2 linked regions of the Lytechinus pictus genome follow. The protein of the gene in region 2 purifies or fractionates together with the protein of the main gene of each other region. This does not show direct contact. Links are inferred from orthologs where the notes say so. Each region holds a gene or a part of one and is shown on either strand. Other genes may lie near its edges.

Region 1 (7,780 bases), on a different chromosome or scaffold from region 2:
AGAATATTTCATATTTCACATAATAAAGTACAAAAGAAATAGTGAGTGGATGACGTCATAAGTTTCCTCATTTACATACATGTATGGTTGGAACTACCCCTTATCGACCACCTAATATTCAAAGCATCATATCTCCGAAAATATTTATCAGTCTTACCTAGTTTTCGTCTCATTTGTGCAGAAAATTATCAAAAATTATAATAATTATTTATAGTCACGTATTAGATTTTAGTATTTGTTATTTTTTGTATAAATTGTTCTTCAAAACGGCATTCTGTAACATCGCTAATCGAATGTACGTCATAACGAAGCGGTTCAAGGGTCAGACCTATTGTATTTGCTTTGTTGACAAACGGATCGAGGGATCTACACGAGATCAGTCTGGTAAGAAACCTTAAAATTTTCACCTCTTTATTCCAATTTTTGGAACCTTAATACGCATTATGCGTTTGAAGGTTCAAATATCAATAAAATTCCCACTTGTAAACCGATTTCACCCTCTAACTATGGATTTCCTAGGGAAATCCATCCGGGTGTCTAGGTCTCGCTTCTGCGTCTATGTCAAAATATTAAAAAAAACATCATCATGGAGTCCTCAAGGCTAGGTCGATGCACATTGCAGACATTGCACTGGAGTTGCCCCTTACTACTACTAGTTTTGCCTAGCCTTGAGGACTCCATGATGATGTTTTTTTAATATTTTGACATATACTTCTTCATCATGGAGCCTTGAACCGCCTGCCATATATGCATAAGCGAGACCTCCACATCCGGATGGCTTTCCCTAGGAAATCCATATTTACAGGGTGAAATCGGTTTACAAGTGGGAATTTTATTGATATTTGAACCTTCATACGCATTAATAATTATTTTTAATAAAATAATTATTTATAATCACGTATTAAATTTTAGTATTTGTTAAATAATAATTTGTATCTATAAATTGTTCTTCAAAACAGCATTTTGTAACATCGCTAATCGAATGTACGTCATAATGAAGTGGTTCAAGGGTCAGACCTATTGTATTTGCTTTGGTGACAAACGGATCGAGGGATCTACACGAGATCAGTCTGGTAAGAAACCTTAAAATTTTCACCTCTTTATTCCAATTTTTGGAACCTTAATACGCATTATGCATTTGAAGGTTCAAATATCAATAAAATTCCCACTTGTAAACCGATTTCACCCTCTAACTATGGATTTCCTAGGGAAATCCATCCGGGTGTCTAGGTCTCGCTTCTGCGTCTATGTCAAAATATTTTAAAAAACATCATCATGGAGTCCTCAAGGCTAGGTCGATGCACATTGCAGACATTGCACTGGAGTTGCCCCTTACTACTACTAGTTTTGCCTAGCCTTGAGGACTCCATGATGATGTTTTTTTAATATTTTGACATATACTTCTTCATCATGGAGCCTTGAACCGCCTGCCATATATGCATAAGCGAGACCTCCACATCCGGATGGCTTTCCCTAGGAAATCCATATTTACAGGGTGAAATCGGTTTACAAGTGGGAATTTTATTGATATTTGAACCTTCATACGCATTAATAATTATTTTTAATAAAATAATTATTTATAATCACGTATTAAATTTTAGTATTTGTTAAATAATAATTTGTATCTATAAATTGTTCTTCAAAACAGCATTTTGTAACATCGCTAATCGAATGTACGTCATAATGAAGTGGTTCAAGGGTCAGACCTATTGTATTTGCTTTGTTGACAAACGGATGAGGGATCTACACGAGATCGGTCTGGTAAGAAACCTTAAAATTGTCACCTTTTTATTAACCAATTTTTTTAACCTTCATACGGATTAGGCGTTTGAAGGTTCAAATATCAATAAAATTCCCACTTGTAAACCGATTTCACCCTGTAAATATGGATTTCCTAGGGAAATCCATCTGGGTGTGGAGGTCTCGCTTATGCATATATGGCATGCGGTTCAAGGCTCCATGATGAAGAAAAAAATGTCAAAATATTAATAAAAAAACATAATGGAGTCCTCAAGGCTAAGTTTTGCCTAGACCAAAAGCTTCGGTCTCTGTTATGTTGGTTGTTCCACTGAACTCCGTTGGCTCCACTCACCAAATACAGAGACCGAAGTTCTAGCTCGATCTGTACAGGGGACTCAATGGCCATATGTTTATGTATAAAGTTCGGATAAAACAGGGAAGTGAAGTTGCGCGACAGCCGAAGTAAGTCACTGTTTTTTTCCCCCTTTTAGGTTTATTTTTCCCCGTTCTGGTGCAATTCAGGCCAAAACGGAATAATAATCTTTATTTTTGTACAGTTCTTTTTATATATTTTTATGAAATAGAGACAAAAATCGATGAGCCCCGTCGGGGGGATTTTGCATTGTTAACCCCTAATGGTGGCTGCACGATAGCGAGACGTCTGTGTACGAGGAGAAATTAAAAAAAATAAAAATGTTAAAAAACTCCTCCTCGAAACAGACGGCTGCCAGCTATTCTAAGACTTGAAGTTTTGCCATATGATATGCCATTGTCGCATATGATCGCATTATTATCGTGATTATTACTGATTACATCTCTTTCCTCTCTGTAATCATTAAGTGCTGATGGACATTCTTTACGCAGCACCTTGCTGTTGATCTCCAGTATACTATAAGCGGAGGAAGAAGAAGATTGTGACTGATTTAATTGTAGGCCTAGCAGACACACAGAAGTTCCACACTACAGACAGTGGTCCACACAGCTCTGCATCTGTCACACTCACAACTCAGAGTCTAGTCAGACACAATCATTCACATTCACAGTCACGTCACTAAGCTACTCAAGAAAAAAAAGAGGAATAAAAAGCATAAAAATAGTTTTATCAAAATATACGATACCGATATAATATCCTCTTCTTCATCATCCATTGCAGCTGCTAGCGGGTGAATATCTTTGCCATCTTTCGTTCCATTTTCGTGATTCTCTTCACCAATAACATTGGTGGGTGTTTCTGTGATTTCTGCCATGTTGGAGATATATTGTAGCCAATTTGCAGATATAGACATTTACGTTAAGAATGTATTCATTATTTGTATACAAAAATAGTTCAAAACAATAAAATTAAAGAAAATACTGCATATATTAAATTTAAGTAAAATATTTGATTTTTTATCTCAATTTAAATAACAATTAATCAAATATTCCGATCATATTTGCCAAGCTTGCGCACGTAAACAAAGTGTAGTCTGCTAGAAATACCAGCCGTAAGAACGCGTGTGTATTCTGCTTTCTGGGCGTGTGATGTCTTCGTCGGCAGTTTGATCATGGGTCCTACTAGAACTAGTAGGATCCATGGATTAATGCCAATTTTTTTTTAGATTACACGTCACTTTAATTGCCCGTTTTCTTAGCCTACGATTATTCAGTTTGCCCCCCCCCCCCACATATCGAAAACTTGTATGCAGTGTACCGGACATGTAAAAACATAGCAGACGACGTTTGCAGACCTCGCGATCATCGTATGACTAGTGGTGCGGAATGTTCCATTGCGGCTTTATGGGTGAAATAGCATTACAGAGGGATAAAATGTATACACAGATAATGTTTCAGCGTTGATTCGCAATATTTTGAGTCAATTTTCATGAATTATCGTTGTTTGAACATTTAAACATCATTATAAAATGAAAGAAATAAGCAAAACTTAATTTTCAGACTTAGCTATGCAGTGGTAAGCTAGGATGCACCCCTCGTATACATAATGGACCCGTCACGAGTGTAGGTTTGCTCTTCGGACATCACTATCACAAAGAAAATCTCCTCTGATTTGATGATAAAAGTGCCCTATTTCCTTATTAACCAATCTCCATGGTTCTTTCATGAGTATTTGCCTTACAATGTGCCCTTTATTGTAATCTGGGCGGAAATTCATGATACCACCACCCACCGATGTGACGAGGGATATAATCCACCCGGGTACTATAAAAATGTCCCCCAAACCCATTATCCCAATACATATTCTGACTATGGATGGTTTTTAGTGATTTTAATGTAATAAAGTGCCATATTTCCCACCAATTGAATGTAAAGAAAATTATGGTCATCTGATAGAAGAAGTTGTTACCATTCATTTCAGGGGGGCGGAAATTCTATCTGAATCAACGCTTGTCCTTGATACACATTTGTTTGTGAAAAAAGGGTATAATGCAAGGGAATTCTGCGTGTTATAAGGGTGCGCGCGTGCAGCGAGGACCTTCTGTCCGCTAGTTTTCCATATGAAAAAAAGGGGGAATAAACCATGGCTACTGTGATTTCTCTCTTGATATATTTCTCCTTTTCCACCTCACAGCTTCCCTGCAACTTCCTCCTTTGAATCTGATTGGTCGATCTCATCATGACGTCACATCAATTGAAGAAAAACAAAACAACTGGGTCTTTTAAAGATTTATTCATTTTTTATTTTTGTATGCCCTTATTATCGTTCATTTTTATTCATTCATTCATTATTTATCCATTCATTTATTTATATACACACATATACACATATATATATATATACATATATATATACTGTATATATATATAATTTATATATATATATATATATATATATATATATATTTATTCACTCGTTTTTTTTTTAATTTATTTATTCATTCATCCATTCATTTACTTATTTTTATTGCTGTTTAACATTGGTGGTGTGGTCCCTACATCACGATTGATGTCATCAATCTTTCTCATGCAGCAGTAGCCCAAAAAAGTTCCACATTTTCTCTTTTTTTCATTCAGGAATTAAGGTCGATAACCTATAACTATAAAGAAAACATGTGGGAGAGGTTAAACGGAAGAAAATACATCCTTTAAAATTGCAATAATTACGATGAATTATACATTTATGCTGCTGTAACATCTGAATAACCCGTGAAAAAAATGACAGAAACAAAAGGTCGCAAGTGATTTTAATGCAACTACTGTCGAATCTTGGAAGATCCCCCCATGCAGCCCCCACCCTTAAATCAAATCGACTCCCTAAAAGGTTCCAACTCTTGCGATAATACTACAAGTCAGAAGGGGATACAATAAGCTCAATTACAACACATAATACACGGCTTAATCGCTTGACTGCACGAATATTCAAGCCAGACAGATGGAATTTGTGATAAGTGCAAAATCTGTGTTACAGCATCTCGAGGTCGACTTTTTCATATTTTGGTCATCCGGAAAAAAAAATTCTTAGATCAATTATTTGATTTCCTGCGTTTGTATTGTCTTGTTTTGTGTACACGTTTCGTATTGTTTATTTTGCGATCAATCATTCAACTTTTGCTTTATTCAAATCCCATTTTTACATAACTGAAATTGTAACTGAGATGCATTATCTGTATCCATATCTTTGGACTAAAGCCAGGAGTGTGCACGGAACATATTCCCATTTATAATCGACGCGCTAGTAACCCAAAATGACAATACTCTAAAACAATATATTCAATTTGAACCCCTGGAACAGACCTTAAAAGGCGGGGGACCCTAGCTTGCAAAATAGCTAATGTAGAAGTCGGCAATTTTGATCAGTCATTGATTGAAATCTACTCATTAATTGCAATGTCAGATTTCTCCCTTCAGTTACGTATCTATTGAAATTGAATTCGATTCTTTTAATTATTTAAATTCAAATATATAATACAAAATAAATCATAAAATATTTAATGAATGCCATGTTCAAGAAATTCAATAAAAATAAAGCATAATGGAATGAGGGGTCCAGTAAAAGCAATTAATGCTTACAATGTGTTAATCCCCCTTTATTGTTTTTGGAATGAAAGGTTGTTATTTTAAAATGTGCAGTTTCCCACGCGGAAACAAATAAAAATAATTTAATTCCCGATTCCTAAATTTTCAAATCCTGGATCTTCCTCTTCACAATGATTTTCCTTCCATTATAAGAATTCATTAATTGTATTATATCTTTACTTAATTTGATTTACTTGGATGTAGAGACGTGAAGCTTAATTGTAGCTTATTTGCCCTCGATCGTCACGTTGGATAGTCTATGGTGGGGTAAAAACTTTAGTGGATGGTTTTTCCATCAGTGGATAAGTCCCCGGACTTTGAACCACAAGGTCCGGGGTTCAAATCCCACCGCAGCACTCGCGTCCTTTGACAAGGCGTTTATCTACATTTGCCACTCTCAACCCAGGTGTAGAAAATGGGTACCCTGTAGGAAGAAATTCATTATAAGCTCCTTCCGATTAGGATAGCAGTGATAAAGCCGGGGTAATAGTATGCAGCACTTAGAAACATTTGAATTAAGAGCTATAAAAATGTTGCATAAAAAATGGACAAGTCCCTGCAGCAACTTCTATAATCAACGTCGATAATGTTCAGGATTTGAAATATTTGGTAGTAATAGACCAACGAATAATTCACCAGATATTTCCACGACTCCCTACATCACCTATCCCGACCATCATTTTGACGTCTCTGTATAATTTTTGTGTTATTCTTTGCATATCCTTCAGCAGTGGCATAGCGATATAACAATTTGAGGAGACCAAATATGGTGCATCAGGGGCAGCGGATCAGGAGGGGGGGGGGGGGGGGGGGGGGGCTTTAGATCCCACACCTTGTTTACAGAAACGTAAAATGACCATCTGGTTGTGATTTTTTGTTGGCATGGTCAGCCACCCCCATCCCCCTACTTCCAAAACCTTTCCACAACCTGGGCGCTGTGGCTGTGCGCCTGTAATCCAAGCCAAATGGGGAATTTACAAAATGATGCAGAGGTTCGAGCCCTAAATTCAGTACGTAACAGGCGGGGGGGGGGGCAGGTGGGCAAGCTGCCCCCCCCCCCCCTGCGGATTTCACCGGGAAAATAAAAAAAAAGGAAAAGGAGAAAAGGGAGGGAGAAAGAAAAGAAAAGGGGAAGGATAGGGGGAAAACGAAAGGGAAATTAGGGAAAAGTGAAAAGAAAACGAAGAATTTTTTTGATGGAAAAGGAAGGAAAGCGGGAAAAGGAAGGAAAGCGGGAAAAGGAACGAAAGAGAACATTTGAGAAAGAACAAATCATTCTGAAATAGGCCTATATAATGCAATAGCATGATGAGAAATAAATTAAAAGATGACAAAGTGGCAAAAATAGCGGGAAACGAAAGTAGAATGGAATTAGTAAAAAGCTAAATTGGAAAACAAAGAAAAGGGACAAAAAATAATAATAACACGACCGGGCTGCCGAGGATTGAAAATAAAGAGCGGGAATAAAGATGGACAGCATACAACATTGTGCTATAAGCTTGCTAAATTCTATGCAGATAAGCTACCGGGGTTTTGCCCCATGCAGACCCTATACGCAGTAGGGGATCTTCATCTATAACCTTCAAATGGCTCTATAACGCCCCCACCTGTAGGGACCCTTCCTATATCAAGCTTTAAGGCCACCGCACACTGTTCGCGATCCGATTTTGGAACAAATCGCAGTTTGCTCATTTTCTGAGAATGTGAAGGGAACATATCATTTTATTTGAGGTTAAAATTAATTGACAGAATACTAATATAACCATTTTGAAAGATAGCAAGCCTTTATTTTGGAGTAAAGGCCAAATTAGTTTCAAATCGTACGACTGCTATGACGACTAGATATTAAATTTGCTTTTATTCTAAGAAGGAAGATATCATAATCACTGATTTGAACATAGGTTTTCGTACGATGATTTCGAACATTACTCAGTAAGATATTCCAAGTCTCAATATTAGCATCAAATTCTACTACGTTTTATTCTGAAATCGAGTCGCAGACCAATCGTAATGTGTGCGGTCGCCTTGA
Region 2 (7,951 bases):
GATGATTATGGTAGCAATAATAGTGATGACCAGAGGATAATATTTTGCTGTGGCGGACAATAATGATGCACCCTATGAACATAAGGATATATCCTCTGCTATGCCGCCCGCGGTGATGATTTGTTTTATGATGATGACGGTGATAATGACAGTGATGAAGGTGCTGAGATTAATTATGATAATAATCCTAGTTTTTATGATTACAGTGATTATGATTATGGTGATTGTGACGGCATGACAGTGGGGGAAGGGGCATGTTTGTCGAGATTTAATTTCATTTGAAAATTAAAGGTAGGTCCTAGACTGAACAGTATCATCGAGTGTTTCTCACCAAGGCGAACTTCTACTTCAAACTAATTACGGAGCTGCAACTCTCTTCAGTTGGTTCGAGATTCGACCCATGAACCTCATATACAGAGAACGAATGATCAATAACCAGGTAACATAATGGTATACGATGTCAATTATGGACGAATTTTTCTCCTTATGTCTATTTATCGTATGGTTGACATCACAATGAGGGAAAATTTGATTGCATGGTGACTTAAAAAATCCTAGGTTTGGGATTTTTAAGAGGAAGGTAACACTTATGCTGGATTTTCCCAACAAATATGATTTTTGAAACTTGTAAGAATGATGGTTGAGTGAACAGGAATTGTAAATTTAGTAAGTGCTCCCCCCCCCCCCCCGGGGTTACCTGTTACAAGCGAGAGGGCGAGATAAGGTAAGACTTGGTTGAAAGGGCATTCATCTTCTTTTTGTCATTTTACAAATAAAAATTCTTATGTATCTCCACCCCCCTCAATTTCCTAGACCCCTCTCACTTCCTGGATGGTAGCCTATTCAAAACTTATTTCCCACTGAAGTGACCGGTGGCTGATAGTCATTTTTTTTCTTTTTATTGAATGATTACCAAGAAATTGACTTGATTATGATAATTTATGAAATACTTTATTGAAAACTGAATGTTTGATTGATTACGTTGCCCATTGAAATAGTTGATTTATTGATTAATTGTTGATTGATAGGAAAAGTTGATGCCCCAATTATCATAATTAAATAAACATTCTGCTCTGGACTTCACGCGTACATGACAATAAAAGTCAGTCACTCAACAGAAGGGGAGGGCGAGAGAGAGAGAGGGGGGCTAAAATGTTCTGTTGACCCTTATTCCATCAACTTACTTCTCCCACTTACGTCCAATCTCACCCCCTATTTTCTTGACTCCAATGAACACTTTGCTGAGAGCCACATGATAATGTTGAAATGCTGCCCAAAATTTTTGTTCCATTGAATAATTTATGAAACTTGCTTAAACATTCATTACTGGTCACGATTGATCAATAATTCATCACAACGCCCTTAACATTGCAAGTTCCAAAGCCAAATTATTTGCCCCTCAAAAACTGAGAAAAAATGGAAGGCCGCTAATTCCAGCCCAGCCTAATTTTCATATACCCTTTGTTTCAGTAGGCAGTGTTCGCTCAAACGTGATAGTATTTCAACTTTTTGGTGTCATGAGAAAGTTGATTTTAATGGCTTCCATAACATGTCTTTCCCCCCCAAAGTGATATATTTTTTATTTGGCAGCCATTTCAAAAGTGTATAGTTTTTTTTTTGGGGGGGACGCACTGTGGTAGAAGAAGGGAATAGTTACAACGCCCGTAAAAGAAACAAAATAATAAAATAACCAGAGAACCAAATAAACGAAAATCCCTACTCCACAACCCGAGCCTCAAAATAGAGGCTCTTTCAAAAGTCAGGCAAATGTAGAACTTGTTCTTGTACAAGTGACTCGACCCTGGGCCTGGCCTGGTACTTCTCCAGTACCCAGGCAGTAGAGTCGAGACGACGGTTGGCCGTGGATCTACCGGTAGTCAACGGGGGTCAGCGCCTGTGCGGTCGGAGGCAGCCGGACATGCGCAAAACAATTCCACTCACAAAATTTACGATTGGAAGCCAGCATTAAGAGAAATGTAACAAAGTCGGGTACAAATACATATTTCTGATACCGGTAGCTATAAAACTGTAATGCATGACTGCATGATTACGACCCTTTATGTGATAATCGCTTCTCTCCAAGTCGGATCTGACTTTTAGATACAGGATAAACTACTCATTTTCGTTTCACGAGTCTTATTATGGTATCGGCTAAGTGAAAATAAAAGATCAATACAGTCGAGCCATGTAATAGAAAAATTACTAGGAATTAATTACGTGCAAGTCTAATATCTGAGTTCAGAAAATTTTGAATACATTTAGAGCCGGGGGGGGGGGGGGTACTTACGAAATAAGGTATACGGGGATGTGCCGCTGAAATGGGTCGCTCTTTTGGAAGAAACACGGGGTATGGTTTTATGCTGGAAAATCCCTAAACATGCATGGCCCCAATTTTAAGATACTTGTTTTTAGATACATGGGTTCATGCCCCCAATTTTTAGATATTGGCCTTAAACATGGGTCCATATTCTCAAATTTGGGGTGATAACCTTTTTTTGGTCAAGTTTTAAGCCCTAATAATTGATACCTTTTAGCAAAAATGACCCGTAATGGGTATGGGTATTGATCCCGCATCAGCCGCACACCCCCGTCCAAACCAAATCTAAGTACCCCCGGACCTGCCCCCGGCGTGGTCGCCTGGGCGCCATGAGTTGCAGACTGGCGAGTTTGAATTCGCTCCTTGCCCGCTTTCCAGACCATAATGCGCATGCTCGTAACTTCGAGAATTTCTCGGAAGTCTCTTCGGGACGGAATGTATGAATGCGGAAATAATAACACGAATTCTTGTAATGTGATCGAGGCGGTCTGATACGGTTATTATCAATTTCCACTTTACAAATAACTATGGAGCGCAAGTTATCCCGACCTACAACTAGCTACACGGCGGGTCATTGCTTGCTTGTTATTGGTGTTGAACGCGACGATGTTAACATGTGCTTTGTAACCTATGCAATTTTGGTAGAGCATGATGAAAAACACCCACAACCCAAATATGGTGGGAATCGGTCTGTAGGGCCCCAAGACATGACCTCATGATTCAAGATTCAATCTTTATTTCGCAAATAGGATAAAAATGTATAATAATAGTAAATTAGTAATGATGATGATGAAAAAGAAAATGATGATAGTGATGATGATAAGAATGATGATGCATATGATAATGAATGATAATATGAAAATAGTAATGATATTGTGATAATAATTATAAATGTATAATAATAAAGGACATCAGTAATTACAATTTCCTTCAGCAAGAAATTCTTCCACATTGTGCTGCACTCAACCCAGGTGAGGTGAATGGGTACCCGACAAGATTAATTCCTTGAATGCATGAGCGCTGAAATGCAGCTCGAGCCAAAGCCGGGGTAATAATAATAACAACGCGCCTCGGAATAGAATATTTATAGATAGATGGCGCTATATAAATGCCTATTATTATAACAACAATAGTAATAGTAATTGATATTTTGCAATATTTCACTTTAACTCATATCCTTTGTGCACCATCTATGAAGTTTGTCTTTTTGGTTTTTGTCTCACCTGCATAGCAGAGTGAGACTATAGGCGCCGCTTTTCCGACGGCGGCGGCGACGGCGGCGGCGGTGGCGGCGTCAACACCAAATCTTAACCTGAGGTTAAGTTTTTGAAATGACAGCATAACTTAGAAAGTATATGGACCTAGTTCATGAAACTTGGCCATAAGGTTAATCAAGTATTACTGAACATCCTGCCTGAGTTTCATGTCACATGACCAAGGTCAAAGGTCATTTAGGGTCAATGAACTTAGACCATGTTGGGGGAATCAACATCAAAATCTTAACCTAAGGTTAAGTTTTTGAAATGTCATCATAACTTAGAAAATATATGGACCTAGTTCATGAAACTTATACATAAGGTTAATCAAGTATCACTGAACATCCTGCATGAGTTTCACGTCACATGACCAAGGTCAAAGGTCATTTAGGGTCAATGAACTTTGGCCAAATTGGGGGTATCTGTTGAATTACCATCATAACTTTGAAAGTTTATGGATCTGATTCATGAAACTTGGACATAATAGTAATCAAGTATTACTGAACATCCTGTGCAAGTTTCAGGTCACATGATCAAGGTCAAAGGTCATTTAGGGTCAATGAACTTTGGCCAAATTGGGGTATTTGTTGAATTACAGCCATAAATTTGAAAGTGTGTTGGTCTAGTTCATAAAACTTGGACATAAGAGTAATCAGGTATCACTGAACATCCTGTGCGAGTTTCAGGTCACATGATCAAGGTCAAAGGTCATGTAAGGTCAAAGAACTTTGGCCACGTTGCTGGTACATGTATTTGTTGAATTGCCATCATATCTCTTTAAGTGTATTGGTCTAGTTCATAAAACGTGGAAATAAGAGTAACCAAGTATCACTGAACATCTTGTGCGAGTCATAGTATTTTTCAAAATCAGCACTGCTGCTATATTGAATTGCGTGATGCAGGTGAGACGGCCAGAGGCATTCCACTTGTTCCTCTTTCCTTCAATTTCTGTAACCTTCATTTACCCATCCTTCCATTCTTTTGAGCAAAGTATGGTCATATCAATAATCTTTGCTCTATTTCTGTAGATAATCTTGAATGAGCAAGGAAGATTAATGAATAAATTTAATGCTATGGTTGCCTTTTACCAAGCATATTCTCTGAGAAATTGGGAGATAGAAAGAGAGGGAGAAAGAGGTAGAAGAGAGAGAGAAAGAAGTGGTCAAGAGGTGGCGAGTGCAGATGAGGAAAAGAAACTGTGATTTTAAGGGCAAGGAGATTGAGAATGGGAGAGATAACGGTAAGCTAAAAACATGTAATGATATACAGTATGTGTCTATGTGTGTACATGCATGTATGTGTGTTTATTAGAGTACCCCCTTGATGAGAGAGAGAGAGGTGAGTAGATGAGGAACAGTTGGGGGAAAAGGAGATGAAACCAGCAAATTATGGGTGTGAGTCACACTTGATATTATGCATACAGTGCTCTCTCTACATCAGCCATCCTCCACCCTCATTCTCCAATCCTAATAAATCACACATAAGCCAGAATTAATTTAGAGGAACACTATTAAGACAAGCTTCCTGAACTCTATTTAGCTGTATTATCTTATTTTGGAGCTTATTGTTGTCACTTTGCTGGACATATGGTGGACATTCAGAAAGGTTATAGTAGGATCGGACGCTTGTCTGGTGGGCGTACTCCGAAGATGCTTCGAGAAATCAAGGCACCAAAATTGGTGATGGTGAGTGTATTGGGCTACTGCTAGAGCAGATCACATTGAGATACACTGGAAGTATGTGCATACTGTACAAATACACTGTACCTGTTTGACTTGTATACTCTTGATACAGTGCATTATTGATTGTCCATGTTTCTTAGTTCAACAGATGATAATGTTTTCTACCCCCGTCACACTTATTCGGAATCAGCAGGAATCGAGCAGAACCAGCTGGAATGAAGAACTTTCAAAATTCGTGCCACATTCGGGAGGGAATTTGAAATTTTCACTACTTTTGCAAAAATGTCGTTCAAATACTTAGAACGTCCTTTGATCCCGCCTTGAATGATTCTTGCACATTCCGGGTGTATTGACTGTCAAATGCAGCTCGAATACAGTCGGAACACAGGAAGAATATTAAGAATGCTGTTAGAATGTCGTAAGAATATGTAGAATGCAGTCAGAGAGCACGGCACTTCGAATGTCATTCAATATTTCTCCACTTCGAATGCACTTCGACAGTTTTGAACATGAGCAAAACATTCGGGCCGGTCACAAGAATGGACCCGAATGTCTGGAATGCACTCAGAATGCAGTCAGAATTTTTAGAATGCGCTTCGAATATCCAGGAATGTACCAAGAATTTTCATTCCGACGGCATTCCGGCTCATTCCGCCTCTAGTGTGACGGGGGTTTTAATGAAGTAGGCTTGCATGTACATGTATACCAACAACATGAAACAACAGGTGGCTCGTTTCTGTTTTTTAAAGTCACAATCTTGCAGTCCACAGAAATCCTTTAATGACTCATAAGCCGCTAATTAGTATGAAGGGGTAATTAGGTGATCTGTCAATCGACAGATCAACTCTTAATTTCGTACGAATTTTCTTTTTTATTTATTTATTATTAGGTGATCTGTCAATCGAATTTTCTTTTTTATTTATTTATTATTTTTCTTTATTTGCCGCCCTTTTCTTGTTAGCACAAAATCTCCAAATCTACATGATCAATTATCTTCAGAATATCATCAGATATGGGGACGTATCATGTGATGTGTATAAAACAAGTTCAAGGTCAAAAGGTCATCATGACGTCATCTAGACGCCATTTTGTAAAATCACGTTATCAATCATATCTTCATTATCAATTTTAAAAAATTAACAATATTTACATCACATTAACTTCAGGTCAAGGGTCAACTGTCCATGTCATTAAAGGTCATGTAAAGGTCACGATGCGTGCGAATGCGCGCGTCAAAATTTTAAAATGCTCAAAATCACATTTTGACCAAAGTAGAGTACGAATCAGGTCATTTTAAGCATTTCAAAAATTTGTGCGCGCGCACGGTTACACGCGCGTTCTCGCGCGTAACGGCACTATAGAGCATAGGGTCGCCATTTTCTTTATATCAATGCATTGATAATATAATTCTGAATAATTTGATACCTTGATCAACCTTTTACGACAAGTAATAACGGAATAAGCCTCCATCAAAGTTTACAGCACGCACGCGTGCGCGCACTAACCATAGACAATATATGTGCAAAAACATGCCTATACAAAATTCATTATAGCTCTTTAGATAGTCCGTTGACCCCCAATTTTTTTTTTCATATTCCAATAGTGTATAAATGGGAGATATGATTTCATGTCACATTTGACCCTTAATTTTATCATGACGTCATCAAAGTGGCGTCGAAACTCAAAATTCCCACTTTGCTACCTATGACGTCATCATAGTTATGCAAATTTGACACTAACTCCTCAAATATTGGCCAATTTTCGCTCAGTTTTCAATATGTTGTAGCTGAGGACATACTCTTTTTAATTTGATGGCTATATTTTCTTTTAAAGGAATGGATCATCCTGAAAAATGGCAAGTTATAGAGGCATGTCATTTTCGCTCATTTTGTGTGCAATCTCTATGGAAAATGACTTTTTCTCAAAACTTGATTTTACATTCTTCTATTTCGCGAGCCATATCTTCATTTCTTTTTGTCGGTTTTCTCTGAGCTTGAAGTATGTTGTAGGTGAGATTGTAAGCTATCGCAACTGTGGTCTTCATTTTCTGATCAGATGCCGAGATCATGCCCGTATTTCACTTGCAAAATTGGATTTGAGATCCTCTCAATTTGCATATGTGTAAAGTCTATGGGAAATAGTGCTTATGTGTAAAGTCTATGGGAAATAGTGTAGCTCAGTTGATAAGGCATCAGACTTGCGTTCTTAGGGTCAAGGGTTGGAACCCAGGGGTGAACATGAGATTTTTTTTTCTTTTTCTTTTCAACATTTCACAAATGGTCCTTCATGACCATTACAAGGTATATAAGTTAAAACATTGCACAATAAAATAGTTTAAAAAAATCCTTTTAATATAATATGCACATGTACCATGTGTATCATTTACACCTATTTTCCAAAGTTTCTCATTTTTCTCTTTTCAAGAGTATTCATCATGTTCTTTTTCTTATAAAAGTTTAGTTTTCAATATGATCATCGTATTGATGTCAATAAACATGGTAATTGTATTCGCGATCATGTTTTCAAATTACTACTTTTGTGGGCTGGTATCATCTTCAATTTCCTCACTCCCTCATCTTAAGAAAATCAACCAGATACAAGTATGTACATGTATAAAGTACATTTCTTTTGTGATAGGATTTAAATAAAATATTACTTTTTCATCTACTTAAGATTTTGTGGATTTTGATAAGATA

Evidence for each region. The genes of interacting proteins can lie anywhere in the genome.
Region 1: the proteins of sorting nexin-4-like (region 2) and sorting nexin-30-like purify together in Homo sapiens (co-immunoprecipitation; 4 studies listed by BioGRID and IntAct, counting the BioPlex papers as one, with this or other methods). This does not show direct contact. The link is inferred for Lytechinus pictus from reciprocal best matches to the Homo sapiens genes SNX4 and SNX30.

Annotation. Positions count from the first base shown.
Region 1 is NC_087255.1:20,298,269-20,306,048, reverse strand, and holds the start of sorting nexin-30-like, read right to left. Parts: upstream 3,014-7,780; 5' UTR 2,988-3,013; coding exon 2,859-2,987; intron 1-2,858. UniProt on the Homo sapiens protein: Involved in the regulation of endocytosis and in several stages of intracellular trafficking. Together with SNX4, involved in autophagosome assembly.
Region 2 is NC_087247.1:81,360,520-81,368,470, reverse strand, and holds the start of sorting nexin-4-like, read left to right. Parts: upstream 1-4,944; 5' UTR 4,945-5,159; coding exon 5,160-5,258; intron 5,259-7,951. UniProt on the Homo sapiens protein: Involved in the regulation of endocytosis and in several stages of intracellular trafficking. Plays a role in recycling endocytosed transferrin receptor and prevent its degradation.